Sus scrofa: one gene and its partners. The protein of the gene in region 7 interacts with the protein of the main gene of each other region in a pairwise test. Links are inferred from orthologs where the notes say so. Each region holds a gene or a part of one and is shown on either strand. Other genes may lie near its edges.

The links.
Region 1: the proteins of KEAP1 (region 7) and NFE2L1 interact in binary tests that used the Homo sapiens proteins (3 or more experiments, as listed by UniProt). The link is inferred for Sus scrofa from reciprocal best matches to the Homo sapiens genes KEAP1 and NFE2L1.
Region 2: the proteins of KEAP1 (region 7) and WDR83 interact in binary tests that used the Homo sapiens proteins (3 or more experiments, as listed by UniProt). The two-hybrid records come from large-scale screens. The link is inferred for Sus scrofa from reciprocal best matches to the Homo sapiens genes KEAP1 and WDR83.
Region 3: the proteins of KEAP1 (region 7) and MAD2L1 interact in binary tests that used the Homo sapiens proteins (3 or more experiments, as listed by UniProt). The two-hybrid records come from large-scale screens. The link is inferred for Sus scrofa from reciprocal best matches to the Homo sapiens genes KEAP1 and MAD2L1.
Region 4: the proteins of KEAP1 (region 7) and PRKAG1 interact in binary tests that used the Homo sapiens proteins (3 or more experiments, as listed by UniProt). The two-hybrid records come from large-scale screens. The link is inferred for Sus scrofa from reciprocal best matches to the Homo sapiens genes KEAP1 and PRKAG1.
Region 5: the proteins of KEAP1 (region 7) and HSP90AA1 interact in a two-hybrid assay, tested with the Homo sapiens proteins (2 studies listed by BioGRID). The link is inferred for Sus scrofa from reciprocal best matches to the Homo sapiens genes KEAP1 and HSP90AA1.
Region 6: the proteins of KEAP1 (region 7) and DPP3 interact in binary tests that used the Homo sapiens proteins (3 or more experiments, as listed by UniProt). The two-hybrid records come from large-scale screens. The link is inferred for Sus scrofa from reciprocal best matches to the Homo sapiens genes KEAP1 and DPP3.

The regions. Positions count from the first base shown.
Region 1 is NC_010454.4:24,309,881-24,313,380, reverse strand, and holds part of NFE2L1 (nuclear factor erythroid 2-related factor 1), read right to left. Parts: intron 2,706-3,500; coding exon 2,490-2,705; intron 2,078-2,489; coding exon 1,988-2,077; intron 1,763-1,987; coding exon 1,604-1,762; intron 858-1,603; coding exon 1-857.
Region 2 is NC_010444.4:66,310,040-66,314,243, forward strand, and holds the start of WDR83 (WD repeat domain-containing protein 83), read right to left. Parts: upstream 2,801-4,204; 5' UTR 2,548-2,800; coding exon 2,445-2,547; intron 2,363-2,444; coding exon 2,242-2,362; intron 2,160-2,241; coding exon 2,054-2,159; intron 1,810-2,053; coding exon 1,761-1,809; intron 1,679-1,760; coding exon 1,552-1,678; intron 100-1,551; coding exon 32-99; intron 1-31. UniProt on the Homo sapiens protein: Molecular scaffold protein for various multimeric protein complexes. Acts as a module in the assembly of a multicomponent scaffold for the ERK pathway, linking ERK responses to specific agonists.
Region 3 is NC_010450.4:103,926,061-103,930,157, reverse strand, and holds the start of MAD2L1 (mitotic spindle assembly checkpoint protein MAD2A), read right to left. Parts: upstream 2,801-4,097; 5' UTR 2,589-2,800; coding exon 2,516-2,588; intron 1,763-2,515; coding exon 1,616-1,762; intron 1-1,615. UniProt on the Homo sapiens protein: Component of the spindle-assembly checkpoint that prevents the onset of anaphase until all chromosomes are properly aligned at the metaphase plate.
Region 4 is NC_010447.5:15,046,820-15,050,823, forward strand, and holds the start of PRKAG1 (5'-AMP-activated protein kinase subunit gamma-1), read right to left. Parts: upstream 2,801-4,004; 5' UTR 2,761-2,800; coding exon 2,752-2,760; intron 2,681-2,751; exon of another isoform or gene 2,494-2,680; intron 1-2,493. UniProt on the Homo sapiens protein: AMP/ATP-binding subunit of AMP-activated protein kinase (AMPK), an energy sensor protein kinase that plays a key role in regulating cellular energy metabolism.
Region 5 is NW_018084979.1:919,178-923,336, forward strand, and holds the start of HSP90AA1 (heat shock protein HSP 90-alpha), read right to left. Parts: upstream 2,801-4,159; coding exon 2,639-2,800; intron 2,551-2,638; coding exon 2,184-2,550; intron 1,890-2,183; coding exon 1,756-1,889; intron 1,456-1,755; coding exon 1,135-1,455; intron 927-1,134; coding exon 761-926; intron 490-760; coding exon 299-489; intron 197-298; coding exon 49-196; intron 1-48. UniProt on the Homo sapiens protein: Molecular chaperone that promotes the maturation, structural maintenance and proper regulation of specific target proteins involved for instance in cell cycle control and signal transduction.
Region 6 is NC_010444.4:5,945,220-5,949,414, reverse strand, and holds the start of DPP3 (dipeptidyl peptidase 3), read left to right. Parts: upstream 1-1,395; 5' UTR 1,396-2,850; coding exon 2,851-2,902; exon of another isoform or gene 2,903-3,130; intron 3,131-3,201; exon of another isoform or gene 3,202-3,221; intron 3,222-4,032; coding exon 4,033-4,195. UniProt on the Homo sapiens protein: Cleaves and degrades bioactive peptides, including angiotensin, Leu-enkephalin and Met-enkephalin. Also cleaves Arg-Arg-beta-naphthylamide (in vitro).
Region 7 is NC_010444.4:69,286,710-69,290,864, forward strand, and holds the start of KEAP1 (kelch-like ECH-associated protein 1), read right to left. Parts: upstream 2,801-4,155; 5' UTR 2,690-2,800; intron 2,684-2,689; exon of another isoform or gene 2,554-2,683; intron 1,038-2,553; 5' UTR 991-1,037; coding exon 352-990; intron 1-351. UniProt on the Homo sapiens protein: Substrate-specific adapter of a BCR (BTB-CUL3-RBX1) E3 ubiquitin ligase complex that regulates the response to oxidative stress by targeting NFE2L2/NRF2 for ubiquitination.

The DNA of each region.
Region 1 (3,500 bases), on a different chromosome or scaffold from region 7:
AAGTCGGCCTGCTTCTCCTTGCTGCCCTTCTTGAGGGCGCCGGGCGGCGGCAGGTCGGCGGCGTCCAGGGCGCTGGGCGCCATGTTGTACGTGTGGTTGTGGCCCACGTGCTCCAGGTAGGGCAGGCACGAGAGCTGGGACGGGTCCTGGTAGCTCATGCGGCAGAACTTGGAATACTCGGGCTGGTAGCCCACGGCGCCCTCGGCCTCTTCCAGATCCAGGGTCTCAGAGTCAGAGCTGTAGCCCACGGCGCCTTCCTCGGAAAAGGAGGAAGAGGCGGAGGAAGAAGCCGACGAGGAGGAGGACGAGGACGAGGACGACGAGGACGAGGACGAGGAAGAACTGCCTTCCGAGCTGCTCAGGGAGGAGGGGCTGTGGCTGGAGTCCAAGGAGAGGCCTGAGTCGGAGTCGAACTCCTCTTCGAGCTGGGAGGCCTGCACGGGGTTGAAGCCTTCTTCGATGGCCAGGTCCATCAGGCTGATCTCGTCCAGCATGGCTTCATCTAAGAGACCCCCCAGGGGGTCAGGCAGCTCGGGGCCCGCGGTGTCGTTGGCCGTGCCGTTGAGCTGGGGTGGAAAGAAGAGCCCCGCTAGGTTGGTGGAGCCGAAGGTGGAGTTGAGGCTGGTGGAGTTGCTGGGGACCAGCGGGAGCAGCGTGGAGCTGCTGGCCACAGGCAGGCTCTCCACCTCGGGGCTGAAGAGGGAGAAGTCCTGGCTGCAGCCCCCCAGGGACGCCTGATGCAGGCTGACATTCTGGTTGATGGGAGTGTTGGGGGCAAGGCTGTAGTTGGTGCTCAGCGGGTCTCCAGGAGGGGCGTTGTACAGGATTTCGCTCGTTGACGTGTTCACTTCCATGGCCTGGGAGGGGAGACGAGCGTGACTGCCGGCTCAGCGCCGACGCCCTCCCCAGGTGTGGCTGGGGGCTCCCTTAGCAGGCGCCCTGCACAGGCGCAGCTGCATGAATGTAAAGGCACGAGCCTGGAAACCCGAACCCACAGTGTCAACTCCTGGCCCCGCTTGATCCAGCAGGCCCGGCAGAGATGGGCTCCTCCCTGTGGACTTCACCCCAACGCAGGACTGATCAGCTCCAGGTCTCGTTTGGCCAGATCGCCCCAACACCTAACAATGACTACCCTCCACCGCACAATCAGCGATGCGCAAAGAACACCCAGCCTTGGAGTGAGAAAGGCTGGCTGTGCCACTTGCTGTGTGACCAGCAGCATTTCACTGGGCCTTTCTCTGAGCTCCAGTGTCCTCCCTTTGAAATAACAAAGGGCTGACTAAAAGGCCATGGGGGCCAAGTGAGCAGACAACAGCTGTGCGACACTGCAGGAATGTCCGCTTTTATTAACACTACATCTTGGAAACACCCAGTCAAGACATTATCTGCCTGAAGAAAAGGATGGAGACCTGCTTTAGGAGGTTCAGCCCTAGGGCTTTAACCCAAACCCCAATTCTACTGCACCCCCTACTGCCCCAAGGAGACGCCTGGACAGTCACTGCTCAGTGTTCTGACTTTCTTTTCCCAGAAGTAGAAGAGCAGCGAGCACGGGGACGCCCCCCACACAATCCGATAGGTCTGTACCGGGTTCTGATCAGCCTACCTGCATTTCCATGATGGACATCAGATCTTGCCACTGCTGTTCCAAATCAAATGGAGACTCTGTCCCCGTCAGGAGAGGAGACAAAAGGTTGTTTTGAAGACCTGGGGGCTCACTCTCACTAGGCACTGCTTCTGTTATGCTGGAAATGTCTGTGGGAAACTAGGGCAAAACACAGAGGATTTAACAGGGGAGGAGGAAGACCACCTTCTGCTTTCCTCCCAGAAACGACCACCTGAGGTTCTGTTTCTTCCTTCCTCAGAATTCACCCCCAGCAGCCAGGACAAGGCCAGCACCAAGAGCTGGCCCCTCAGGCAGCCTCAGAGAAACACACCGTGTGCAGGCTGCCCTGCTGGCTCAGTGGGCTCTCCCTGCAGTCCTGCTCACCTCTGCATTCTCCCCAAAGGGGCAGGTGGCCTCCAGCAGCCTAAGGCACTCTTCCAGGGACAGGGCTGTCTGGTCCTCCCCACCAGGCACCTGTGGCAACAGCAACTGTAAGTCTGACTGCCCTGGGCCTTGGCTGCCTGTGGGCCAAAGCCCTTCCCCAGTCTTTCCAAGGGAAGCCTGAAGGAGGCCCCGTGTGGCTGGTTGCAGGCCGACACTGTCCCTCCATTCCCAGGCTCGGCTGGCCTTGAGTCCCAGACTCCAGGAGAGAAGAGAGTGGGAGAGTCCTGACACACACAGAAAGCTGCCAGGTGCTCTGCCTCCCGTGTGCTGTTCCTCCCCAAGGCGTGGCCCCTCTGCTGCCACTGCTCTTCCACTCCCGCTTCCTCAGCCCTTCACTCGGACTCCAAGACCCCAACCCAAGACATACGTTCAGGCCCACCCCACAGACCCAAGCTGCCTTTTCTAAAGAGACGTTTCCGGAAGTGGGCAGAGGCAGAAGTACCTGTGCAGGGAAGCTCTCCCCAGTCTCTCCATCCACTAGCAGGTTTTGTGCCAGAGCTTCTGCACCCTCGCCTGGCCAGGTGTCCTCCTGCTCTGCTCCATCTTGCAGTTCCTTATCCACATCCTGCTCTTTCTGGCGATGACTGTAGTCAAAAATCTCACGCCCAGCCCCCAGGTCAATATCCTGTCGCCAAAGGATGTCAATCAGATCTATATCCTGAAAGACAGAGCACTGTGACTTTAGCTGTGCGGTCCAGGGGCCCCTCCCAGTCCTGCCCCTCAGAGGTTCCCCCCCCCAGCACCACTCCGATTACTCCAGGGTAGGGCCCCTCCCTGGCTACACACCTGCCAGCCTCTACCTCTGCCCCCTCTGTACCAGCAAGGCTTCATTCATCCATTTCCAGACACAAGCCTCCAAAAAGAAAGTGCTAGCAAAACCCACGAGCATGACATCCCATCCCCACCGTACAGGTCTGTGGGCTCAGGATCTGGACCAGAGACACAGCCAGGCCAAAAGGCAGGACCATCTCACCACTACTTAAGAAGAAAGGGGGAAGCAGGAGACACGTCTCATTTTGGGAATGGGAATCCCTTGAAACTTGGGTTGTAGGAAGCCGGCCACAGCAAGCCAGGGGGAACTGTCACGCAGAATTGCTTCGCAGTGGCCAGGCTTGCATCAGCCTGTGGTGCCATTTCATTTGCATAAAGGGGTGGGGTGGGCTGGAAAGGAAAATCCCTGCATTTGCAACCACCTGATGCAACCAATGACAACGAAAGGCCATCTCCAGCCTGTCCTAGAGCCATTCCCCCTTCCCTGGCTGAGGCAAGAGGATGCCTCAACACCCACAACTCTTAAAGCCCAGGCTCACCTCAAGATCCATCCCTGCCAGAATGCCCACTCTCAGCTGATCCTAGCAAGCCGCCTCAATCCCAGGAGAGCCTCGGGCAGTCAGATGATCCTCACTGAGCACCCCACCCCTGCCAAGGCCAGCCCCACGGTATCCCCTCATGC
Region 2 (4,204 bases), about 3.0 Mb from region 7:
CTGTCTGCCCCGCAGCTCCAGCCATACTCACTGCCCACGTAGTCCGAGAAGAGTTGTCCCATCCTCAGGTCATAGCGCCTCACCCGGCCATCTACGGAGCTGTAACAAAGAGTGGATCCACCTGCAGCATTGCAGGGCCTAGTAGGTCCATGGCTCCAGCCTTGGTATCCCTGTACCCCCTCACCTTGCCAGGGCCCTGAGGGCAAGGCTGGGTGCCTGCCCTTCCTGGGTACCCTTTATGTCATGTCATGCTCAGGACTGGCCATGGAAAACATGCACTGCATGCACTGAAGTGAATTCATGAGTGGAATTCTGAGGCACTGGCTTTTTTTTTTTTTTTTTTGTCTTTTTGCCATTTCTTGGGCCGCTCCCATGGCATATGGAGGTTCCCAGGCTAGGGGTCAAATTGGAGCTGTAGCGCCGGCCTACGCCAGAGCCACGGCAACTCGGGATCCAAGCCGCGTCTGCAACCTACACCACAGCTCACAGCAACGTGGGATCCTTAACCCACTGAGCAAGGCCAGGGTTCGAACCTGCAACCTCATGGTTCCTAGTCGGATTTGTTAACCACTGCGCCACAACAGGAACTTCACTGGCTTTTTTTTTTTTTGTCATTTTTGGCTGGCCCAAAGCATATGGAGCTTTTGGGCCAGGGATCAGGTTGGAGCCACAGTCTTGACCTAAGCCACAGCTGCAGCAATGCCTGATCCCTAACTCACCATGCTGGGCCTGTGTCCCAGTGGCTCCCAAGATGCTGCCAATCCCATTGTGTCACAGCGGGAGCTCCCTGAGGCACTGGCTTTGAGACTCGGACCTAGGGGCCAACCAGGTCCCGTTCCATCTGTTTTGGATTTGTACCAAGCTCCCTCTCAGGGCCAGACCCCATGTGGGGGCTTGGGGACACAGGTGCTGCCAAGCCAGAGGCACTTGCTGCCAACATAGAGCCTTGATGACTGAGGGTAATCCCCGCCCTGAGGAGGTAGCATCTGAATTGGGACTTGGGGATGAGAAGGAGCCAACCGTTTGCAGTCCAAGTGGAGATGTGTGGGAAGTGGGCCAGCCCACAGGCTGTGCAGTCCAAATGCTCCCCCACCACTCAAGGTGTGAAATGACACTCAGGCTGTGGCAATGCTTAGGCAGCTCTGCGTGGTTTTTTTTTTTTTTTTTTTCAGTTGTTTGCCTCCTGTAGCTAGAATGTCGACTTTATGTGGGCAGGTGTTTTTCCTTATTTCCCTATCTTGTTCATTGCTGTATGCTCACTGACTAAAAAAGTGACCTGCAGGAGGTGTTCAGATATACTCTGAATGAGTAGCAGAGGGGCGGTCCAGGCAGAGGGAAGAGCAATTGCAAAAGGAGGTCCTGGGGTGGGAGCATGTGTGGCATATTTAACAGAAATGAGGCCAGGAATGAATAAAAGCTCAGAGTACAACAGGGACTAGACCATAGAGGGCCTTGTAAGCAAAGCGAGGAGAGCAGATTTTAATTTTCGGACAGAAGCAGCTACGATCCCTCCTGGCACCTGGGGAGGGGCAAGGTCCTGGCCCCACTCACCCTGCCAGGACTTCATGGTCCGACACCTTCACACTGGATATGCCATCCCTGGCTTCATCCAGCGTCTGTACTGGCTCAGGTTTCCGAGAGCGGCAGTCCCAGCAGCGCACACTGGAATCGATAGAGCCTGTGTGGTCAGCATGAAGGTGGATCAGGTTTGGGGGACAGAAGCAGCACCCTGGGCCCACCTGCCTAGGCCCCGCACTCACCAGACAGGATAACTGTGGCCTCTTCATTAAACTGCACTGTGTTCACCTTCTGTGAAATGGAACTGCTATTTAGAGAAGCTGGACTTTGGAGGATGGGGATAAAGGCAAGGGAAAAAGCTAGGGGTAGGGGAGGTGAAAGGTTTGTGGGGAACTACAAGGACAGGGCTTGGTAAGACGACCCTTGGGGAAGGGGAGGATCCTTGTGCTGTAACTGAGCAAATGGTGGTCCCTGTCACCACCTTCATGCAAATGACCATCCTCTCCAATTAGGCCACCTTCTTGCTTGCACTCACCCCAGCATGGCCCCGAAATTTTCGCACGACCTGCCCTGATGCCACATCCCACAGCACCACGGCCTTGTCCCCGCCGCCAGAACAGAGACTGCTGTTGTCAAAGGAGCTAGAGGGCAGAGGAGGGAAGGTTAACGTCGACCTCTGATCACAGCCTCAGCGCCCATATTCTGGCCTGGCCCTCAGCTCACCCGGCCGCGTCCAGCACCTCATAGCCGTGGCCGCTGTATGTCCGCAGTAGCGTCCCCCGCAGCGGGTTCCACAGTTTCAGGGTCTTGTCACTGCCGCAAGTCAGACAGTAATTGCCATCCACTGGGGAACACCAGGCAGGGGTTACTGGGTCTCCGATCTCAGGAGGAGGGAGGAGGACCCGGAATGAGATAAGGGCGCTCACCATTAAATCGCACGGCTCGCACAGCCCCCTGCCCGCAGTCCAATGTCTTCAACCGTTTCTGTGGCAGCTCCGGGCCACGTGGCTTTGGCTCAGGGAAAGCCATCGCACTCGGCTCCCTTCCTCGCCACCGAAGCTTTCCTTGCTCTGGGTGTAACCTTATTATTGTCCTCTATGGTCTACTTCCTATTTATCACTTCCGGATTCAATAGTTTCAGCTTTTTGGAGATAATATTGGGAATACTGAAGCCTGTTTCCAGTTTTCACTTTCTTTTCCCATTTCCTGTTTTCTAGGAATACTTTTGGCTTCCAATTCTTTCCCCTAGCTGGGAGAGTTCCGGCCCCCGCCGTTAGGAACGGAAGCACGAGGGCTGAGGGCGTTACTCCAAAAGCCTTCCTCCGTTTCCACATCGGAAGCTGCCAGAAGCTGCGACACCCGCAGCGGAAGAGGCGCGACTTCTGACTCGCTATGTCCGCTAACAGTATGTCGGACCCACGGAGGCCTAACAAAGTGCTGAGGTGAGGATCCTAGTTGTCATGGTGTTAAAAAAACGAAAAACAGCTGTAAATTTTAAGTTTCTAATTGGCTTTATCAAACGATTCATGGATTGGGCAGTATCCCATCTAGCAAGGGGGGGAAGGGGCTCTTAAGGGCTACGGAAATGGAAAGTTTTTTGAAGGCAGGGCAAGGAAGTCATAAGAAAAAAGGATTATTTTAGATTAAGTCACTTCCTTTTTGGGGAAAAAAGGGTCTTATTAGGTGATGGTTACCTCGTCTTCTTTTTGGGGGATGGAGACGGGAGAGGCACTCTGTAACAGACTAATGCGTTTGGTGCTGATCAGAAAAATACTGAGTGAACTCTTAAAACTACATTTTTTTGGAGGAGGTTGAAGCTTCAATTAAGTTAGGTATTAGGCCCTGCTTTGGTGGCTTGGCCCTAGTCCAAGTGACTCCGTTTTGGGCCTGTGGTTTTTTTTTTTTAAACAGTGCCCCTCTTTTGATTGGACTCTCAGCTTGACTGAGAGGTGTAATCAAAACTTAAGGCTTGGAAAGATAAAAAAAAAAAGAAATAAAATTTAAAAAAAAGGCTTGAGGAGTTCCCTTGTGGCTCAGTGGGTTAAGGATTTGTCTCTGCAGCAGCTAGGGTTGTTGCTGTGGCGCCTGTTTGATCTCTGGCCCAGAAACTTCCACATGGGGGCGAGGGTGGCCCAACCAAACCAACAAATAAAAAAACACTTCAGGTGTGAGAGCCATTACCCACTGCTGTGTTTGAGGTTATTGTAGTTTTTGTTGTTCCTTTGCATGGTGTTCATAGGTTTTTATATTTTTGCTTAACCTCTGTGATATTCACAGGTCCTGACTGGCTTCAGGTTCACCATCTTTAAGTTGGTCATTCTCTTGTTCCTTTTCTGATGTTTTAGGGAGATATTCTGCTTGGTGGTTAGCGGCTGTGAATATACATTTAAAGCTCTTGAGAGAATATGGTGCACCAGGGAGATTATTATGATTAAAATAAACAGGATAATTTGCAGTGTTTGGAGTGCGCTTTGGAGCTGTGGTCCTCAGCACTCAAACCAGTCAAAATTAAAATATATCAAAGAGTATCCCATTGAAGGAGTCACTTTTTTTTTTTTTTTTTTTTTTTTTTTTTGGCTTTTTAGGGCCACACCTCTAGCATATGGAAATTCCCAGGCTAGGAGTCAAATCAGAGCTGCAGCTGCTGGCCTGCACCACAGCCACAGCAACGCCAGATCCTTAACCC
Region 3 (4,097 bases), on a different chromosome or scaffold from region 7:
TGGCATTTGCAGCAACATGGATGGACCTAGAAACTATCATACTAGGTGAAGTTTGTAAGACAGTGAGACACCAATGTCATATGCTATCACTTATATGGGGAATCTAAAAAAAGGATACAGTGAACTTCTTTGCGGAAGAGATACTGACTCAGACTTTCAAAAACTTACGGTTTCCAAGAAGACACGTTGGGGGTTGGGGGATGGGCTGGGGGTTTGGGATGGAAATGCTGTAAAATTGGGTTGTGATGATTGTTGTACAACTATAAATGTAATAAAATTCATTGAGTTAAAAAAATCAAGCTGCTTGAAACAAAAAAGATTCATTTAAAATTAAAAACATGGAAGCAACATAAATGTCCACTGACAGAGGAATGGATAAAGAAGATGTGGTACATATATACAATGGAATATTACTCAGCCATAAAAAAGAATGAAATAATGCCATTTGCAGCAACATGGATGGACCTAGAGATTATCATACTAAGTGAAGTTAGTGAAAGACAAACATGATAGCACTTAATGTGGAATCTTAAAAAAAAAAAAAAAATACAAATGAAGTTATTTGCAGAACAGAGACTTTGAAAAACTTATGGTAACCAAAGGGGAGAAGTGGGGGAAGAGGGATGGGGTGGGGGATTGATTTGGGATTGGCATATGCACACTGAGGTATATGGAATGCTTGCCCAATAGGGACCTGCTGTATAGTACAGGGAACTCCACCAAACAGTCTGTGATGGGCTACATGGGAAAGAAATCTGAAGAAGAATGCATGTGTATACATGTATAACTGAATCACTGTGTTGTACAGCAGAAATTATTACAACATTGTAAATCAACTATACCTCAGTAAAAACTTAAAAAAAAAATAAATAAAGATGAGGGCTGTAGTGTTTTTTAGAACTTTGGAAGATCAATGTGTGGATATGGAAAAATATCCTACAACACAGAAAAATTAGAAATGAGAACCCTAGGTGGAGACAAACATGAAAGAGAAACTAGAAATTTTAGAAGAAAGAAGAGGAATAGATGGAGAACAAGTATTAATTAAACAATACTGACACTTCTTGAGCTAAAAGGAAAAAATAAGTATTCAGACTCACATGTAGGATTTAAGACAAGACAATGGAAACAGGTGAAAAGTAAGAAAATTCTAATGGTGCTCTGTTATTTGGTAGTTGTTCTTTTTAAAGTTTAGTCCCCAGGTTGAATTCAGTTTTGCTTCCTTCATCTTAATGATGGCTTTAGACTCCATGCAGCTACAAATATATATATAGTGGATTTTTCTCAGATAATGAACACCAATATAATTATGTAAAATTCCAACATGTTCCATTTGGTCACATAAACTGCAACACTCATTTCTAAAGGAGTTGATGGGAATTGTTTCATTAAGCCGTATCGCGTTCCTAACATGAAAATATTCAGCCCACTCAAAATGGGGTAAAGATGGGACTTCTTTTTGATTTATTTTCTTCCTCCCAGTTATTTCACTATATTTGAGATGGTAGTGTGTTTTACACCACCAGGTATACAGATGAAAAATGACCAGCAAGCTGCTAGAAAATGGATCCTAGAATGCTGGCAAAACTCAAAACTGTTTCCAACAATGAAATACCTTTTAGTTGTTCCACCACATTATTTAGGTATTTTATGAGCTCAGGATCAGTAGTTACAAGCAAGGTAAGTCCGTATTTCTGTACTCGAGTAAAGGTTTCAGATGGATATATGCCACGCTGATATAAAATGCTGTTGATGCCAAACGCTGAAAACAAAAGAAATGTTAAAAGTCATTTTCATTTTGTAATTCTGAGAAATAAAACATATTTAGTCATGTGGCTATGGTTTCATTAATGGTGTAAAGCTGTAAATGTTTAAACACGCGTTTGTGTTTTGCTCAAAGGTACAAAGTGAAATTAAAAAGCTTTAAAATTTTGCTTCTAAACAAAAAAGTGGTATCTGCATTTAAGTGGCAATAAAAGAAACATGGCAAACTGCATTTATCTACCAGTGCCAAATTTCATTTCATTGTAAAACAATTCTAAATTCAGACTTTATGGTTAGAGGATGTCAAAAGAAGCAACTGAGTCGTCCAACGCCCAGGCAATCCTCTCCTTTTTTTCCTCCTTTTCTTCTCACAAGTCCTGCCAGGTTCTATCAGAAGGTGCAACTGGCCTGGTCCAGAAGAACGCCTCCCCAAGTCTAGCCCATTACCGTCAATCCTGATTCACCTCGGGGTGGGTATGGGGTTTGCTCCCGGCTAAGCGGTTATATCGCCAGGCAGGCCTCAGCAGAACCTAGGCCGCCTCCTCCACCATTAGCAACGCATCCGGAAGAGGCGCCTGCATCCGCCTCTTCCAGATCCCTCCTGCCTGGCAGTACGCTGAGACTGAGAGGGCTCGGATTCGCGTCCGCTCTGACCCAATGGGTTCTCCCCGCCACCGTACCGAGCCGCGGGCCTACTTGGCGGCCTGGGCACAGTTCTCCCCGCTCTCCGGCCTGCGCGAGAAGGACTTACAGAAGAACTCCGCCACGATTTCGGCGCTCCCGCGCAGGGTAATGCCTTGCTCCCGGGAGAGCTGCAGCGCCATGGCCAGGCCCACGGATGAAGAGACGCGCTTTCACGCGGCAACCAGCCACACCAGTGACTTCCAGAGTAGTTCCCCGCCACCGGTTTCAAAAGTAACGACGCAGGACGCCGTCGACTCTTTCGCGCAGGCGCAACGAGCCTTTAGGCCCCGCCCTTACACCACGGGGTCTGGCTTGTTTTCTCCTTCCTCGCGTAGCCGCTCTTCGCGCCTGCGCAGTGGGTGGACGTGCTCACGCTGTTGAGTCGTTGCGTCGCGGTGGGTTCCTTGTGGAACTCCTGCGGTAGTTGGTTGGCTAGCTGGGGGCTTGCGGCAAAGACGGTATATCGCGGTTTTAGTGGCCGCGCCTTGAGTCTTCAGGCAGAAGGGGTAAGGAGCACAACTCCTGAGTTTGAAAGATATTTTGAAAATGCTCCGATCTGTCTGCTAGCTGTACCTTAAGTAGCCCCAGTGATTCTTAGTGGGCGGGCGGAACTCCTCAGATGCTTTGGGAGTTTCTAAAGCTACTGCGTGCGCACCACAGTTTTATTAGAGACCCTGATTACTTGTGGGCGCGCGGCTTTTCCTGAGAAATTGGTTTAGGGATTAAAGGGATGAACTGCGTCCATTCTTCTTTCCCTTGTCTGTTCTGGGCAAAGCTCACGTCTACTCCTCACCCCGACCCTCTGCTAGGCTCAGTCTGGGGGCAGCCTGAGGCTGTCTCTGATGGTCCAGCTTGCACTCTGCACCCCGCCATCCTTCGGCGACTGGTCAGGAGTAAGGTCACTTCACCAAAAAGGCCTTTCAACACTGAAGAACTTTTCCGTGAATTTTGAATTTTATTGTTAGGATGAGAAGTACTAAAGAGATAGCGCGCAACTAATGTGCATGTCAGTTGTTTTGAAACAAGTTTATTCTTAAAGTGGGTAGAAAAAATGTAAAATGAAATCTGAAAAACTTAACCACCTTACATAATGTTATTTAATTGTATGAAAAAATGCCTGAGTGTATTAGTTTTCTATTGCTGCATAATAAATTACCACAAATGAGTGGCTTAAAACAACACCCATTTATTATCAGTCCTTCAGTCAGGAGCATGGCGTGGCATAGGTGAGTTCTCTACTGTAGTCTTCACAAGTTTGAAATAAGGGTATTTGTCTGCAAGTGGGATCTTACCTAAAATCAGGGGTCCTCTTCTGAGGCCCTTGGTTCTTGGTAGACTTAATATCCTTGTTCTTGGACTGATGTCCTCACTGGCTTGCCAGCTGTTGGCAGAGGCCAGTCTTGTGCTTTTGCCAGGTAGCCCTTCCATAAATCTCAGGCTTCCAGTCTCTGACTTCTGGGAGGTCCCTTTTAAAGGCTCAAGTGATTAGGTCAGACCCAGTCAGATAATTTCCTCTTTGATGAACTTAATCCTCAAAGTGATAACTCCTAATAATCACTACTCTGGCCACACTAAAGTGGAGGGATTCTATAGGATAGGCTCCCTGGAGGCCACAAATTTTGAGGACGCCCTTAGAACTCTGCCTATTC
Region 4 (4,004 bases), on a different chromosome or scaffold from region 7:
TGATACGAACAGAGACCTAAGTTATATAGAGAGAAAGAAAAAGAGACATAGCTAAACAGAGACACAGATGCTACATAATAGAGTCTAATGCAATTGAATATGACTCCATCTTTCTGCCTGTTTCTTCACCCAGGATTTGGATAATTACATCCACTTTTTCTACATTTAATAACAGAAGGAACTTAAGACTACTACACTGCATAAACATAAAATATGATTACAAAGACATACCCTAAGGCTGAAACACAGATTCACAATTTCTGCCAAACTTCTCATCCACATTTCCAGTTGTTTGCTGGGCCATCACAGATGTCACAGAGACTCCTCAAGTGCTTCAATACCAAACAGAACAGCATCTGTCCCTCCAATCCTATTATTTTTACTGTGGTTCCCACCTTTGCTTTTGCATCGCTGTCTTCCCCAGTGCCTAGAACAGGAGGGTTGATTCCTCCGAGAAACAGCTATTCCAACATGTCTGCTTAGAATGACAGACCAGGGTCAACTTAAACTTGTCCTTAACATCTATGAGGTAAGCTGCTATGTTAGAAATGTCTCAAATCCATCTCTCTCCTTTCTACTTTCACAGCTTTAACTTAGCCCCCCCCCCACTTTTTTTCCCCCCGCCACTTTCAAAACATGTGAAAGTTCCCAGGCCAGGGATCAAACCTGTGCCACAGCAGTGACCTGAGCCACTGCAGTGACAATGTCAGATCCTTAACCTGCTTGTGCCACAAGGGAACTCCTAAGCTTAGCCTCGTACATGCCATTTCTATAGCATTCTCTAAACTGGTCTCCTTGCCCTAAATCTATTTCCTCTTAATTTGTCTTCCATGCTGGCACCCAGTTCTCTCCCCAAGTACCTCAGATTTGCAAGGGACTCTCATCTCCACCAACTAAGAACTCACTACTTTCTGAAGTAGCCCCATCCATTTACAGAAAGCCATTAGGGACATGCCTAAAGCATACTCACTACCTTGCTCATAAACCTTCCGTGGGTCCCCTTGTTACAAAACAAAAGTCAGGAGTTCCCGATGTGGCACAATGGGATCAGTGGCATCTTGGAAGCACCGGGAAGAAGGTTCAATCCCCAGCCCCCTACAGTGAGTTAAGGTCTGGCATTGCTGCATCTGTGGTTTAAGTCAGGTCTGTGGCTCAGATCTGATCCCTGGCCCAGGAACTCCAAATGCTGCAGGGTGGCCAAAATAAAAACAAAAACAAAATTCAAACTTAACATGGTATGCAATACCTTCAACCTGACCTCAGCCTACTTTTAGTCTTTTCTCCAACTGTGACCAAAATCCAAAACTCCAGCAACACCAAACCACTGGCTCACCCCCAATTAATCTCTACATACCCCAGTTTCTATGCCCTTGCTCACACTGTTCTCTCAACCTGCAATGCCCTCTCCTGGGTTCACAGTAATTTCTCCCTTCCCTATGCTTCCACAGTCCCCTTGTTTGCATCTTGATGATGGCACTGATTACAGTCTACCTGAAATAACAGCTGTCACTGCTTGCCCTCACTCCCACTCCAGTTAAGCTGAGCATTTTCAAAGCAGGGGTTTTCTTTCTCCTTCTTCTTAAAACAATTTCTATTCTAAGAACCTAAAGTATGAGGGCTAAATTAGAAAATCCATACAAGAATGCTCTGTAAACCATAATACATTTCCGAGTAAAAAATAATGTTATTTGAAATTTAGTGGAATCAGATCTTTTATTCTTGCTCAAAATGCTCTTAATTTGTAACTCCCTTGCCTGAGTGGCCAGTTGCAAATCGTAATTTACCACTTTGGTTTTGTTTCCTCTGTATAACCTAAGGGACATGACCCCTCTGCAGGTGGAGAAAAGGGTTACAGTAAGGAAATTAGCCTGGGCATGTAACTGATCCAAAGAAAAGTGAACCTGCAGCCCTCACACAACTACAGTAGCAGATGATCCAAACCAAGATGGGCATATCTGCCTGACAGAAGAGACATGGTTAAGCACTGTCGGAGAGGTAAGGGAATGGAAAAGGCTCCATCCAGAGTGCTAGACCAAGGGTCCTGAGAGTGAGGGTGGGTCCAAATAGGTCGAAGGCAACCTGCAGCAACTCTGGGAGGATGACACGGGCCTGCCACAATCCGTTAATGCCTGCTTGCCAAGAAGGAGCTATGACAACACATCTGCTTAGAATCGCAGAGCAGGGCATGACCTAAACTATTCCAGGGACACAGTGGCCTCTAACACTGAAAAGATTCCCTCCTTCAGGGAAACCCCACTTTTCAGTCTTATCAAGGGATGTGACGTCGCTGGACACCTCAAGGCGGTATAAAAGGCTTTCAGACGTCCCTCCTGCCAAGGATTCCACGAATCTCACTCAGACAACTGGGCACCAGGTGCTACCTGCAAGCGAGGGACCCTCTGAACCTCCTGCCTCACCCAGCAAAGCTGGATCACAACCCTTCTCTCTCAGGCAAACCTCTCAAGGGCTTGTGGTGCTAAAAGGAAAGGAGACCTGAGATCGCCAGGGTGCGTGTGGGTTCCAAGGAGGGAGCCGGGAGTCACTGCCCGCTCAGGCTAACAGTACCGCGGACGGAAGGCAGGCACTGACGCGGCCCAGTCCTAGGAGAGGAGAAGAAGCGGAGCAGCAGGGTCATGGAATAGGACAGACGCGGGGCTTCTCTTTTCCTGGGCACCAGCGCCGGCTTCCCTGTCCCCTTACTGGGGTCTTAGGCTCCACAGCGCCCCCCCACCGCCCTCCCGCGCTCCTCACCGTCTCCATTGCGAGACGCCGGCTGAGTTCGTTCGTTTTAGGAAGCTCGCCCGGGGCGGGGGGCGGAGAAGGCCCCGCCCCACGTCCGGTACCGCAAGGCCACTTCCGCTTACGTCGGGACACACGCAAGTCAAGAGCGGAAGGCGGGGAGCTTACCCTTCCGGCGTTGCTTAGCCTCAGAAACCGCCCTCCCCCGGTCCACACTGGGACCTCGCTGATCCCACCGACGGCGAGGGTGACGGGACGGAGCCGCTTGTATTTAAAATGTTCTTTTTTTTATTTGTCGTTTAAAAACAAACTTGGAAGAAGCAAAATCCAAAACTTGCCCTTTGCCTCTTGCAACATAAATTATGTACAGTTCAGAATGATCGCTGATACAAAACATGCCAAGGACAGGGGCGCTGGGGGTGGAGGGAGAGAGGGCGCTTTAAAAAAGGGAATCATTTCATCCGTTGTTACGAAGGACCAACCTTGCTGTACAGGATACACACAACACAAAATAAAGTCTTCACGGGATTCACACTTGTCAGAGATTTATTTTTTAAAAAGGGGGAGGGTCCTGGAGGTGAGGGGAGAAGACCGTAAAGGGGAAAAACTGAAAATTGAATATGTGCAAGTGTAAACCAACCCAAAATACAAACACGGGGGTGGGGGTGGGGGAGGGAATTCTGATGCAATTATACAGGCGGGGTACTTAAAAAAAAAAAAAAAAACCAACAACCAAAATTCCAACCTTGTAGCTTGGGTCTGAGTTAGTTTATATAAAAATTAAAAACTGTATAAGGTTTCTTCACTAAATTCTACAGGACTATCGGATACCTAGCATACGCTTACAAAGTCTGCCCCATCCCCTTTTCCCAATCCCAGGGCCCAAGCCCCAACCAGGGCCTGACTCACTGGAGCCAAATCTCCCCATCCCTGGAGCCTAGACCTTTTGCTCTTGGAAAAGGAACATCCAATGGCTTTGGGGTCAGCAGCCCAGTCTCCCCACTGTCTGATTTCATTACAGTGGTTTCTGTGGGGGTGGGGGTGGGGGTGGGGGTGGGATGTTATCCTCTTAAACATTTGCAGCTTGAAACAGTTGAGGAAGCAGCTTAAAAAAAAAAAAAAAATCTCCCTACCCCCATCAATCCGCAACCCCCCAAATTCAAAAACAAAACAAAAACAAACCTAAAATCACAACAGCGACCGTGCTCCCCCTCCAGCAGGCCTGCCCACACACCGCCACCAAGCCCACCCCTACACTCCAGATA
Region 5 (4,159 bases), on a different chromosome or scaffold from region 7:
TGGAATCCCAGAGCAAGAGGCATGACGATTACACCCATCTCGCCTTACCTGTGATGTAATAGATGTGTTTCTGGTTCTCCTTCATTCTGGTGCAATAGTCCTTGAGGGAAACCATCTCGTCGCCAGAAGCAGAAGTGTAGTACCTCAACAGCTCGGAAAGCTTCTTCCGATTTTGAGAATCTTCATGTATTCCAAGCTGAAACAAACAATGGTAGCTTCAACAAAACTTGGCCTTAAAAACAAATTCATTGAAAAGGAGAAGTAGTTTGGTTACAGCTGTTGTCACACGATTACCTACCTTAATATTTTTAGAGAACTGCTCATAGAACTTCTTGTAATTCTCTTTATCTTCGGCCAATTCAGTAAAGAGCTCCAAGCATTTCTTGACCAGATTCTTCCTGATGACTTTCAAAATTTTGCTTTGTTGCAACATCTCACGAGAAATGTTCAGAGGAAGATCCTCAGAGTCCACCACGCCTCTAATGAAATCTGGAAAAGCATGCCAAATGCACTCAAAATCACTCCGACAAAAATCAACAAACAGCTAAACCCAAAGAGAACGCAGTTTTCCCCATGCATTTCCAAGTCTGGAATTCCGTCTCTGGTGGCACAGTGGGTTAACGATCTGGCAACGCACTGAAGTAGCTCGGGTCTCTGCTGTGGCGTGGGTGTGACCCCTGGCCCAGGAACTTGCGCGCGTGGCACGGGGTTGACAGGATGAATTTGACAGCCGTCGTTTCTTAGGCTCAACTCTACTTACTCAGATACTCAGGGATGAGCTCCTCGCAGTTGTCCATGATGAACACTCTGCGAACATACAGCTTGATGTTGTTCTTCTTCTTTCTGTTTTCAAATAAGTCGAAAGGAGCGCGTCTTGGGACGAAAAGAAGGGCTCTGAACTCCAACTGCCCTTCGACTGAAAAGTGCTGCAATAAAACACAGCCGTGAGCAACACATACCACAAGCAACTCCTGCTGACAAGTGAGGCTACCTGACAGCTACACATCTGCGGTCACACAAAGCACTTGGGGGGACGCCGGGCTGGGGTAGGGAGAGAAAGCTGCCAGAAAGTACCCTCACGTTTACCCATTTGGGGCAGACAACCTGCTGACGCCAGCTTCAGCAATCACCCACCTTCACAGCCAAGTGATCCTCCCAGTCATTGGTCAAGCTCTTATAGAACTCCCCGTACTCTTCATTAGTGATGTCATCGGGGTTTCTGGTCCAGATAGGCTTTGTCTTGTTGAGTTCCTCTTGATCAATATACTTCTCCTTGATCTTCTTCTTCTTCTTCTTGTCACCATCCTTCTTTTCTTCTTCCTCTTCATCAGAACCAACATCTTCTATCTCTGGTTTATCCTCAGATTCCTTCTCTTCTTTCTCCTTTTCTTCCTCTTTGTCTTCCTTTTCTTCCGCCTCGTCGTCACTGACTTCTTTATCACGTTCCTTCTCCACCTTAAAAAGAAACACAAAATCATCACCTTTTTCCCCCCCAAAATTAAAAAACTAGTAAGCTAAAAGGAACTACAGCATGGACACCAAAACCTCGTCACCCAACTGAGAAACATTCAGGAGCCAGGAAGCTTCTGGTCAATTCCTCATAAAGCCACATAAATAACCCTAGATACCCCAACACAGTAAGAGAGAGCGCTTCACTAGTCTTGAGTCAATACTCAAGTTTGGATCTCTTCCTAAAAAGCAAGGATTTCAATTCACTTACTTGGCTGTCTACAAAGAAAATGCACAAATACTCACGAAGAGAGTAATGGGGTAGCCAATAAACTGAGAGTGTTTCTTCACAATCTCCTTTATTCTCCTTTCTTCCAAGTACTCAGTTTGGTCTTCTTTCAGATGTAGAATAACCTTTGTTCCACGACCCATAGGTTCTCCTGAAAAGGCAAGACACAAACTCAATTTCAATCTTAAGACCCTAATCAAAACTAAAGCAGCCCCCATTCGGCTCTCAAAGCCACAGATAACACTGAACTGTCCCGAGCAAGATTACTACAGAAGAAAATAGTCCCTGAGCAATTAAGGGCCAGGCCCGAGATAAATAACCACGACGTCAGGCTATCTCAGTTCAGGGAAACAAAAACGGTTTTTTTTTCTAATCTTTAACACAAATTGCACAGTATCTCCTGGGGTCCAGTGTCTACAGCACCCCACCCTCCACCGACGCCTACCTGTGTCTGTCCTAACGGTGAAAGATCCTCCTGCAGAAGACTCCCAGGCATACTGCTCGTCATCGTTGTGTTTGGTGATAACGGTCACTTTCTCAGCGACCAGGTACGCAGAGTAGAAGCCGACACCGAACTGGCCAATCATGGAGATATCGGCACCGGCCTGCAAAGCCTCCATGAACGCCTTGGTCCCAGACTTGGCGATCGTACCAAGGTTATTGATCAAGTCGGCCTTGGTCATTCCGATGCCGGTGTCCACTATCGTGAGGGTCCGGTCTTGCTTGTTCGGAATGAGATTAATGTGCAGCTCTTTTCCGGAGTCTAGTTTACTGGGATCCGTCAGGCTTTCGTATCTGATCTTGTCCAAAGCCTATCAAAACCCGCAAATGATTACGCCCGAAACCCCAAAATGGTGCATTTCACACCGACACCAAAGCCCAATCCCGAAGGCAACTTACATCGGACGAGTTGGAAATGAGCTCCCTCAGAAAGATCTCCTTGTTCGAGTAGAAAGTGTTGATGATCAACGACATCAACTGGGCGATTTCCGCCTGGAAGGCGAACGTCTCCACCTCCTCCTCCTCCATCGGCTGGTCTTGGGTCTGGGTTTCCTCGGGCATCTGGAAGGGACACCGAGCCGGCTCCAGCGCGCCCGCCGCCGCCGTCCCCGCGGGATCCGGGGCCGCCGGCTGACAAAGGGATGACCTCATTCCGGGCCCAGGCCCCGAGCGTGTGCACGGCGGCCCGAGCTGCTGGGGCCCCCGGCCGGCCGCCGCCGCCCCCGCCCGCCCGCCGGGCCGGGGGCTCGCCTCCCTCGGGGGCCCAGGGATCCCGGCCCGCGCCTCCGCACGGCCCCGGCCCCGCCGCGGCCCAGGCCCGCCCGCTGCCGGCGGGGGGAGGGGAGGCCGCGGCAGGCCCGCGGCCTGCGAGACGCCCGGACGCACCGGCCCCGCCACCCCGCCGCCCCGGGGCTGGACTCGGGGCCCGCCCGCCGGCCCCCAGGCGCCCCCGAAGCCCCCCAACCGCCCCCTCACCTTGGCTGAAGGACGGCACGGGCTCCGCGGCGACGCAGCACCAGGACGCAGAAGCAACTGGCGCGCCGCCCCCGCGCCTGCCTTATATAGAGGCGGGCCCGCCCAGCGCGCGGCGCCTTTTCCAGAAGCCTCCCGAACCTTCCGGAAGAACCCTCCCCAACCGCCGCCGCGGCCGCGCGCCCGCGCCTGCGCCCTGGCCGCCTCCCGCCTCTCCCCGGACGCGCGCAGGCCCGCGCGGAGACCCGCCCGCGCGCCCCGTCCTCCGCGGCCGCGGCGCGCGCGCCCGCGCCGGCCGCAGTGCGCCTGCGTGGCTTGGAACTCTCGCGAAAGTCTCGCGCTTTCCGGGGGCCCCGTCCCCCGCCCTCCCGCCCCGGGCCCCCGACCCCGGCTCGGAGAGCGCGGCTGCGCAGGCCGCGGGCGGCCCCTCGCCCCAGTCAGGCGCGGAGCGTGCGGACCGGGGATGGAGGCCCGTGCCCGCGGTTCTGGGAAGTCCAGAAAAGTAAACTTTTCACTTGTTAAAGAATGTCCCCACGTTGTGGAAGCTTCGGGTCCCTCGGCGTCACGCCCGCGACTGGGGGCCAGGGGCCAGGTTTAGGGGATCGAAGCAGGGTTGAAGGGTCTGGGTCCGACGCCACCTTTATAGGCGTGTGGAGGTGATTAGAGCTCAGAGGCAGGTTGGGAGTTTGGGGGCCCCAGGCAGCGATTACAAGTTCAGGGCACAGGAAGTGGGGCAGCAGATGCCAGGCAGAGCTAGTTATGCGGAGTCCCAGGGTTCTCACCCCATCGTGGAGTGTAGGTGTGTCAAGAGGGGTGACCAGCGTATGTGCATGGGGGGCACAGGGGAGCCCCAGCGCTTCGCGGTCTCCATGTGGCTGGTTGTGAGGCTGAGGTGGGACAGGGAGCGAGGGTCTCTTCCCTCATTGCCATAGAGTCCCCAACCCCACA
Region 6 (4,195 bases), about 63 Mb from region 7:
CCAGGCCTTTCCTGGGGCAAGAAAGCTGGAAAGACAGGTAGATGGAGATTCTGGAAAAATCAAAAGAGTACCAGCTTGATGTGGGCATCTTCCCCAGTGGAAGACAGAGCCTGAGGGAGAACAGATTCCGAGGGAAGGGACCTGGCCCAATCCACGCAGCTGGTTGGAGCCACAGAGACCACACCTGGGGCTGTTGAGAGGACAGGGGATGCGTGCTGGTGGTGAGAAGAGGACGTGATCAGATTTTTGATTCCAGAGCATCCTGCTGCTGCAGAGGGGGAACCCAGATGGGATGCTGGGGGGATGTGGAGACACTGCAACTCTCTCTCACACACACGCGCACACACATCCGGAGCAGTAGGAACTCAATTCTTCCTAGATTTCATCTCACTTTCTTGGGAACTAGATAGGGGAAGAACTCAGACATGTTGGTGGAGGGGGGCCAGACAGCCCTGGCCTTGGCTCAGCTCTGCTCCTTTCCAACTCTTGAAGCCTCAGTCTTCTTAACTGTTAAATGGACTAACATTCCCTGCATCACCAGATGGTTGTGAATGTATGGAGAGTACCCGTAACATGGTATGTACTTTTTTTTTTTTTTTTGCTTTTTAGGGCTACACCTGCAGCATATGAAAGGTCCCAGGCCAGGAGTTGAATTGGAGCTGCAGCTGCTGGCCTACACCACAGCCACAACAACACAGGATTCAAGCTGCATCTGAGACCTACACCATGGCTCATGGCAACGCCAGATCCTTAACCCACTGACCGAGGCCAGGAATCAAACCCGCATCTTTGTGGATACTAGTCGGGTTTGTAACCCACTGAGCCATGATGGGAACTGCCTGTATGTACTGAATGTTACTTTCTCACCTATCCCTCTTCATTCTCATGGGAAAGAGCCAAGGCTGGGGATGGTCATGACTCCAGGGAGTGGACCATGTGATACTGTGTGTGTGTGTGTGTGTGTGTGTGTGTGTTGGGGCACGTGGGGGGATACTGTGTCGTTAGGTCTAAGTAGGTCTAGACCCCACTTTAGGAACACCCGAGGACTTCCTAGGGACCCTTAGGGAAGTCAGTACAACCATTACCCTCACTTTCCCCATATGTACAATAGGTAATGAGATCCTCCAAGTCAAGCCGCTAGCACAGTACTTCAGGAAGTGCTCGTATTAGCTGTGATGATTAAAAATGCAGCTTGGGGAGTTCCCATCATGGCACAGCGGAAACGAATCTGGCTAGGAATCATGAGGTTGCTGGTTCGATCCCTGGCCTCGCTCAGTGGGTTAAGGATCCGGCGTTGCCCAGAGGTCACAGATGCAGCTCAGATCTGGTGTTGCTGTGGCTCTGGCATAGGCCAGGAGCTGTAGCATGTATTCCACCCCTAGCCCCCTAGCCTGGGAATTTCCATATGACATGGGTGTGGCCCTAAAAAGCAAAAAAAAAGCAGCTTGGTTGGGGGTGCTCCATGGAGTACTGGAATCTTTCCTTGGCCTAAGCTGCCCCCTGGTGGCAATGAGCAGCACTACCTCCTTTATCCAAGTCAGGGAAGGCTTTACACCCATTTTAAAGACAGTGAAAATTGAGGCACAGAAAAGAGGGGGGTGCTATTTTCTGAGTTCCTCCCTATAGTGATAATTACCATCAAAATCACCAGTTAGCAGCACGGTTGTGCTCAGCAGGGCCTTGAACACCTTTTGTGAATGAGAACCAGCACCAGTGGTGGGCGGCTGCTAACTCTGGGCATAGACACAAGTGTGGCAAAGCCCGGCAAGGAAGGTCTGTGGATTTCAGGTGTCCTCTCTCCTCCAGTCCTCTCTGCACAACACTAGGGGGCAGCACTACCCTGTCAGTACCTTACTCAAGCCTTCAACATCCCTCCAGTAAAGACAATTTTCAGCTCGGTGTTTTGGCTGAGGAAGTCAAGACTCAGAGAGGTAAAGTGACCTTTCCAAGGACACTCAGCCAGTAGGCAGTGGAAGCCTGATTCCACCTTAGATGGCCTGGCTTTGCCCCTTTCTCTGACCTGGGACCCTCACAGTATTCTGCACTGGGCCCAGGCTGGTCACTAGGCACTTCCGCAAACCTTTCCCCACTCAGGCCAGCCTCCTGGGAGTCTGTCCAGACATGCAAGAGCGGATTTCAGGATGGACTCTACCCTGAGCAAACTTTCCCAGTCACAGGCGCCTTTCTCACCCATCGGGAACCCGGCAAGCACCGGCAAACTCCTAAGCCCCTTGCCGCTTTCTACTGAGGAAACTGCGGCTCGATGATATTTAGCTGCTGCCCCTCCAGGCTGGTGGCAAGCGGCGCAGGGAAGCACTCGGGGGCGTTTCTCCGCATCTCCGCACAGTGGGACCAACTCGGCCCTGGCAGGAGCCCGCGGAAGGCAATACAGTCTCGGAAGAGTCTCCATCCCCGGCCCTTGAATCCACTGAGGAAGGGGCATCACTCCCAAGGGGCAGGTTCCTACAAACAAAACAGAGGTTGGAGGACGCAGAAAACCCCCCAAGAGAGCGGGGATCAGGACTCTCTGTGGGGAAATCCCCGGTGCCCTGTCCGTGCCAGCCACGCCGCCCGGCCTGGACTCGGGGCACCTGGTCAGCCCAGTCTGTCGTAACTAGGCCACCACCCGGCCGGCCACGGGAGACTCCTGACCCCCGCGCGAGCGCCCCCGGCGGACGAGAGGCCAAGGCCGCAGGGCCATGCCGCGCAGGGCCCCGTAGCGCCTGGGGGCGGGAAGCCGGCGTGCCGGCGGAGGTCCCCTCGGCGCGCCTATTGGCTGGAGTCGACGCCCATCCGAGCCCCGAGGCCCGGCAATTGGCGGGTGGGGGCGGAGTTCGCGGAGCCCAATGAATGGGGGAGCCGGAAGCAGGAAGTGAGTTTGCGATCCGAGCAGCTGCGGCAGGTGAGGCGCGGTGCCCGGGTTTCGGGGTCACAGCGTGCCATTCTCGGGAGACAGGGCGAGTCTGGACCGGGCGCAAGATCACTCCCTTTCTGCCTCTCATCCGGTACCCCTTTCAGATTCATCGCGGCCACGAGGCCAAGGAACGCTCCGGGCAGCAAAGGGTTAACACCCCTTTCAGAACCCAGGGAGTCGTGCTATTCCGGAGCCGCAGCGGGGTTGGCGAGTGAGGTTAGAAACTCATTCTCAGTAAGGGAGGGCGTTGTGGAGCATATCCTGAGTTGGGAGACAGCTAGGTCCCAACGGGGCAGTGAGACCTTCAGTAAGTTGCTTGGCTTCTCTAAGCCTCACTCTCCCTATCTGTAAAATGAGTTTTCTCCCAGCTCTGAACTTGTGTGGCTCCGGTATCTCCCCTGGCTGAGCACAGAGAGAGGGCAGGAGGACGGAGGGCCAAAGAAAAGGCAGAGAGGTGAAAGTGGAACCGATCCTGGGCTCGGAGAGAGGAAGGGAACAAGGAAAATCATTACTGCTGTAGATAAGTTCCATGCGATCTGGTGTGACCTCATCTAATTGGCACACCCATCTTGCGAGCCTGGGGTTTTTATCGACCTCATTTTAAGGAGTCAGTAATCCAGGCACAAAAAAAGTGGAACAGTGGACTTGATATTGGGAGTCTGGGGCTGAGCCAGGATTGGAACCTGGGTTTTCCTGCAGGGAGTCTGTCCTTGTGAACACAGCCGTGGGCAGAGTTGAAACACTTGCAGGAGAATGAAGGAGGAGGGGAGGTGAAGAGAGGCCTGGGCTGGAGTAGAGACACAGATCTCTGCTTCTGACCTCTGCCTCCTAGTCCCTCTGGACCTCAGTTTCCCCATCTGTAACACTAGGTAGTTGGATTCCATCTTTAAGATGGAGAGGCCACCGGCCAAATGTTGCCTCCCAGTATATTTTGTAATCTCCTTGGGTGGGTCACTAATCGTCTCTGGGCCTCAGTTAGCATTTCTGGTGCATGGGTACCATGGTGTTCCCTTCCTCCTGGACTTTGGGGAGGATTAAATGAGGCTGTGAGAGCACAGAGCCAGGTGTGCAGTTGGCATGTGCTAAGTGACGACTGTGAACGTGGTGATGGTTCTCAGCAGGGCCCATGGCGGACACCCAGTACATCCTCCCCAATGACATCGGCGTGTCTAGCCTGGACTGCCGCGAGGCCTTCCGCCTGCTGTCGCCCACAGAGCGCCTCTATGCCCACCACCTGTCACGGGCCGCCTGGTACGGAGGCCTGGCTGTCCTGCTGCAGAC
Region 7 (4,155 bases):
CACTTGCGGTCTACAGCACATCATGGGTGTTCAATAAATATTTGCTGACGGCCTGAAATGTCGGGCCCTACTCAGTGCACCCCAGTGTGGAAATGCCAACGTACTCACTGCACCCTGTCCCCACCTTTGACCCCAGAGAAACCAGGAGCCCAGGGACCTATGAAGGCCTCACTTTCTTGAGCTGTTCCCCAGAGTTGCCCAAGATGTGTAGAATAAGAATTCAGAACCCCATTTTTCTCCAGCTCCTTGCCTTGACCTTTCACATCTCAAAAAGAAATGAGCTCCCATCTGTCCTTGGTTCTTCAGACACTGCTCCCAAGCCCTGGATCCATGTCAATTGCCCTCACTCACCTCCCCAAAGTGCATGTAGATGTACTCTCGGGCACGCTGGTGTAGCTCGGCACAGCCAATCTGCTCGGCGAAGTTGGCAATGCCAATGGCATTGCTGGGGTCCAGCTGCTGCACCAGGAAGTCGCTGCAGGCACGGACCACACTGTCAATCTGGTACATGACAGCACCATTCATGACATGGAGCACACACTTCTCACCCATGGAGATGGAGGCCGTGTAAGCGAACTCGATGAGGCGCTCCATGACCTTAGGGTGGATCCCCTCAATGGACACTACCTCCATGCCCTGCTCCCGCAGCCCGTTGGTGAACATAGCCTTGAAGACAGGGCTGGATGAAGCCAGCACCACCTTGTGGGCCATGAACTGGGCAGCTGGTGCATCCTCGTACTTGACCTGCAGCGTAACATCGCATAGCTGTTGGCTGAGCCGCAGTTCATTCATGATGCCAAAGGCTTGCTTGGTGTGGTCCTCCAGCGTGTAGCTAAAGGTGCGGTTGCCGTGCTGCGAGGGGGTCACCTCAGCCTTGCACTCCGTGGAGGCGTACATCACCGTGTCCCCTGCCCCTTCGGGGCGCTGTGACCTCAGGGGCAGAAATTGGGTGTGTGCCCCAGCCCCACTAGGCCTGGGTTCCGGTTGCATGGGGTTCCAGATGACAAGGGACAACACCACCACTGGCACTCAGAGGCCTGGAGGAGGGAGAGCACAGGGCTGCGGGCAGGGCCTGGGGCCAAGCCTTTTCTAAAATAAAGCAACTCCTAGACCAGTTTTCCTTCCCAAGCCCAGGTGAAGCAGTGTCCATCTGTGCTAACTGCCCAATGGCCTCACCAGCCCAAGGGTCCACCTTATATCATAGGTCAGATGATGTCCCTCCCCTGCCAGAATCCCCCCCACACTGCCCCCCGCCAAGCCCTGTGGCACAGAGTAAAACCAAACTCTTCAATGGCTGGCAAAGCCCTTCACAATCAGCTCCTGTCCACCTGTCCCCTTTGCTCATTCTGTTCCAGTTATCTGATGGTCCTTCCCTTCCTAGGGCATATCCATCTCCTTCCTTCATTCACCTCACCAACATTTATTGAGCATCTACTGTGGACCACTACCAGGCACAGTTCTAGACACCAGGGACACAGCAGTGAGTAAGACTGACATACACTGTGCTCCCTTAGAGCTGACACTTGGGAATGGAGGAGCCATAAGTAAAATAAGCAAGACTTGAGCAAAAATTGAGGCTTTGAAGGAAATGACAGCACATTGTGATAGTGTGACTTGAGGGCAGTTACTTTAACTCAGGTATTCCAGGCCTCTGTTGGTGCTGAGACAAGAGGGGTGAACATATGAAGGAGGTGGGGGTGGGATGAGAGTTTTCTAGGCAGAGAGAGAGCAAGTGCAAAGGCTCAGAGGCAGAATGACAGGCAATCTGAAAAATCGGTAAGGAGTATAATGAGCATAATGACTATTGAAGGGTTTCCAAGAAACCTGTGGAGACTCGACAGCCAGGGCAGGAGCTGTGTTTTGAAAAGTCCTTCAGGGAGGAGGGAATCTGCAAGAGGCTCCCCAAGTTTCTCTAACTCATCTTTCCCTGGGCTCAACTCAGTCACCTCCTCCCTGCTTTATTTCCATCACAGCACTTGTCAAGAATTGAAATGAGCTCCTTTGCTTCCTCCTTGAAGGATGGCCCATCCGTCTGGCCCTGAGCCCCCAGGTTTCTGAGGACAGGTAGCCCTGTGTAGGTCAGGGCTGTGCCCATCCTCTCCTGTGCCTCTCTGCCTGGGATCTGGCACCGTGCAGGGGTCAATGAGCTATGGCTGGCTGACTGCCCACTCCAGTGTGCCTGCCAGATCACCCTCCTCCACCGGGCCATGGCCGCCTCTCCCCAGCTGAGGCCCAGGCCGGCCTCTTGGTCATGGGCCAATCGGCCAACGGTGCCCCCTGGGCCCTGGGCACTCCCCCGCCACCCCCATGAAGCGGTAAGTGGGAGACTGCGCATGTCCTGCCTGAGCTGCCAAGGCCTGGAAAAGGGAGGAAGTGACCCCGCCGCCGCCTCTCCACTGCCAGCCCCAGGGCGAAGACCAAGCCCCCCAACGTCCCGGAATCCCCCGGCCTTGGTCGGAGCGGCGCTCCCTGGGCCCTTGGCTCGGTTTGCGTCGCTCTCGGGCCACCCCGCGAGTTGCGCCGTCCAACAAAAGGCTCCGACTCGAACCGCACCCTTCTGGCCTCCGCGGAGCCGCGGGAACCCCGAGGCGACCGGCCCGCAACGCGCAGTTCTCCGGCCCCCAGGCACGGCCGCAGGGCACTCACGGCCCACGGTACCCGCCGCCCGGGCGCAGGCCGCCTCACTCACCCCGCCATGGCCGCTCTCGGGCTCCGCCTCCGTCGCCCAGGCCCAGGCGCCTCCATCGCAGCGTGCAGGGGGGAGGTGCGGAACGCGCGCAGGTCACCATGACTAAGCAGAGCCGGGCGCCGGCCGTGTCAGAATAAAAGTCCCGGCGGCCCCCGGCCTCCTCGAGCGGCGGGGACAGCGGAGGGGCCGCTCCCCACCCCACCCCGCCCACGCTAGCTGTCGCCCAGCTGCGCAGCCTCAGCGCGGCGACCACAGCGGTCTTTGCGACGGGGCCAATGACCGCAGCGCTCGGCGCTCCCAAACTCGTGGTAGGAGCCGCAGAGAATCAGAGCCCCAGGTTCGAGGCCCAGCCCGTCCCCGCACCAGGGATCAGTGGGCATCCCTCACCACCGCCGACCTGCCGCCGCGCTCACCTGGGTCGTCGCGTAGCCTCTGCCGCTCTCCCTACGAGGTGGGGAAGCCTGGGCTCCGCGGCGGCTCTGGGGCACCGTGGTGCCACCCGCTCACCGAGCTTCCGGGAAGCCCTAAGGGCCTCGGCCCGGCCGGGGGCGGCTCTCGACTAATTTTCCTTGTGAGAGGCCCGCGGGCGCTTCCGCCGTCGCGGGGGGGCCTTGGTTCTGGGGTGGCTCAGCCTTCGGGGTCGCGGCCGTCGAGTGGGGGGGCAGCCTCAGGACGCCCGGGAAGGAGGCGGGGAGAGGGCGGAGAGGGCGCGGCGGGGAAGGAGTCTCGATTCCCCGCCCTTCCCGCAGGTGCCTCGGCGCCCGTGGGCATAGAGCTGGGCATCGGGCGAGGGATCACCGCGAAGCCTATCTGGCCGGTACCCCCCTCGCAGTCCCCTCCATCCGCCTAGTTTTGTCGATTTCTGTGCGTGTCTGCTGTCCACGACCTGCTCTTCTTTGTCCCTTTAACTTCACAGGGCGCGGGCCTCACATTAAGGCAGCGCAGGATCCAGTTAGAATTGTCTACCCACTTGAATTTTCATTGTCTTTATTTTTTAGTTATCGCCAATCTGAAAGAGCGTGAAGCTCTCGGGAAGAGATACGAACTCCAGCTCTGCCACTCTAGCTCTGTGCGGGTGGGCCTGTAGCTTAATTAACCTCTCCAGGCTTCAGTTTCCTCGCTATAAGAATGTTAACAATAAAAGCACCTACCTGCTAGGTTATCTGGAATACTAAATAAGAACACTTGCGCCCAATAAAATATGGATTTTTATTCTTCATGGCAAGTGATACTGATTTACCACTTATGCTGTCTGTGATATAAAGGTAACTTCAATAAATGCATTAAAAATTTTTTTAAGAGTACATCTATATGAAAACTTAAGTGAGAAGTTCCTGTCCTGGCTCAGCGGAACCGAATCTGACTAGCACCCATGAGGACGCAGGTTCGATCCCTGGCCTTGGTCAGTGGGTTGCAGATCCTGGGTTGTCTTGAGCTGTGGTGTAGGTCACAGATGCCACTCAGAT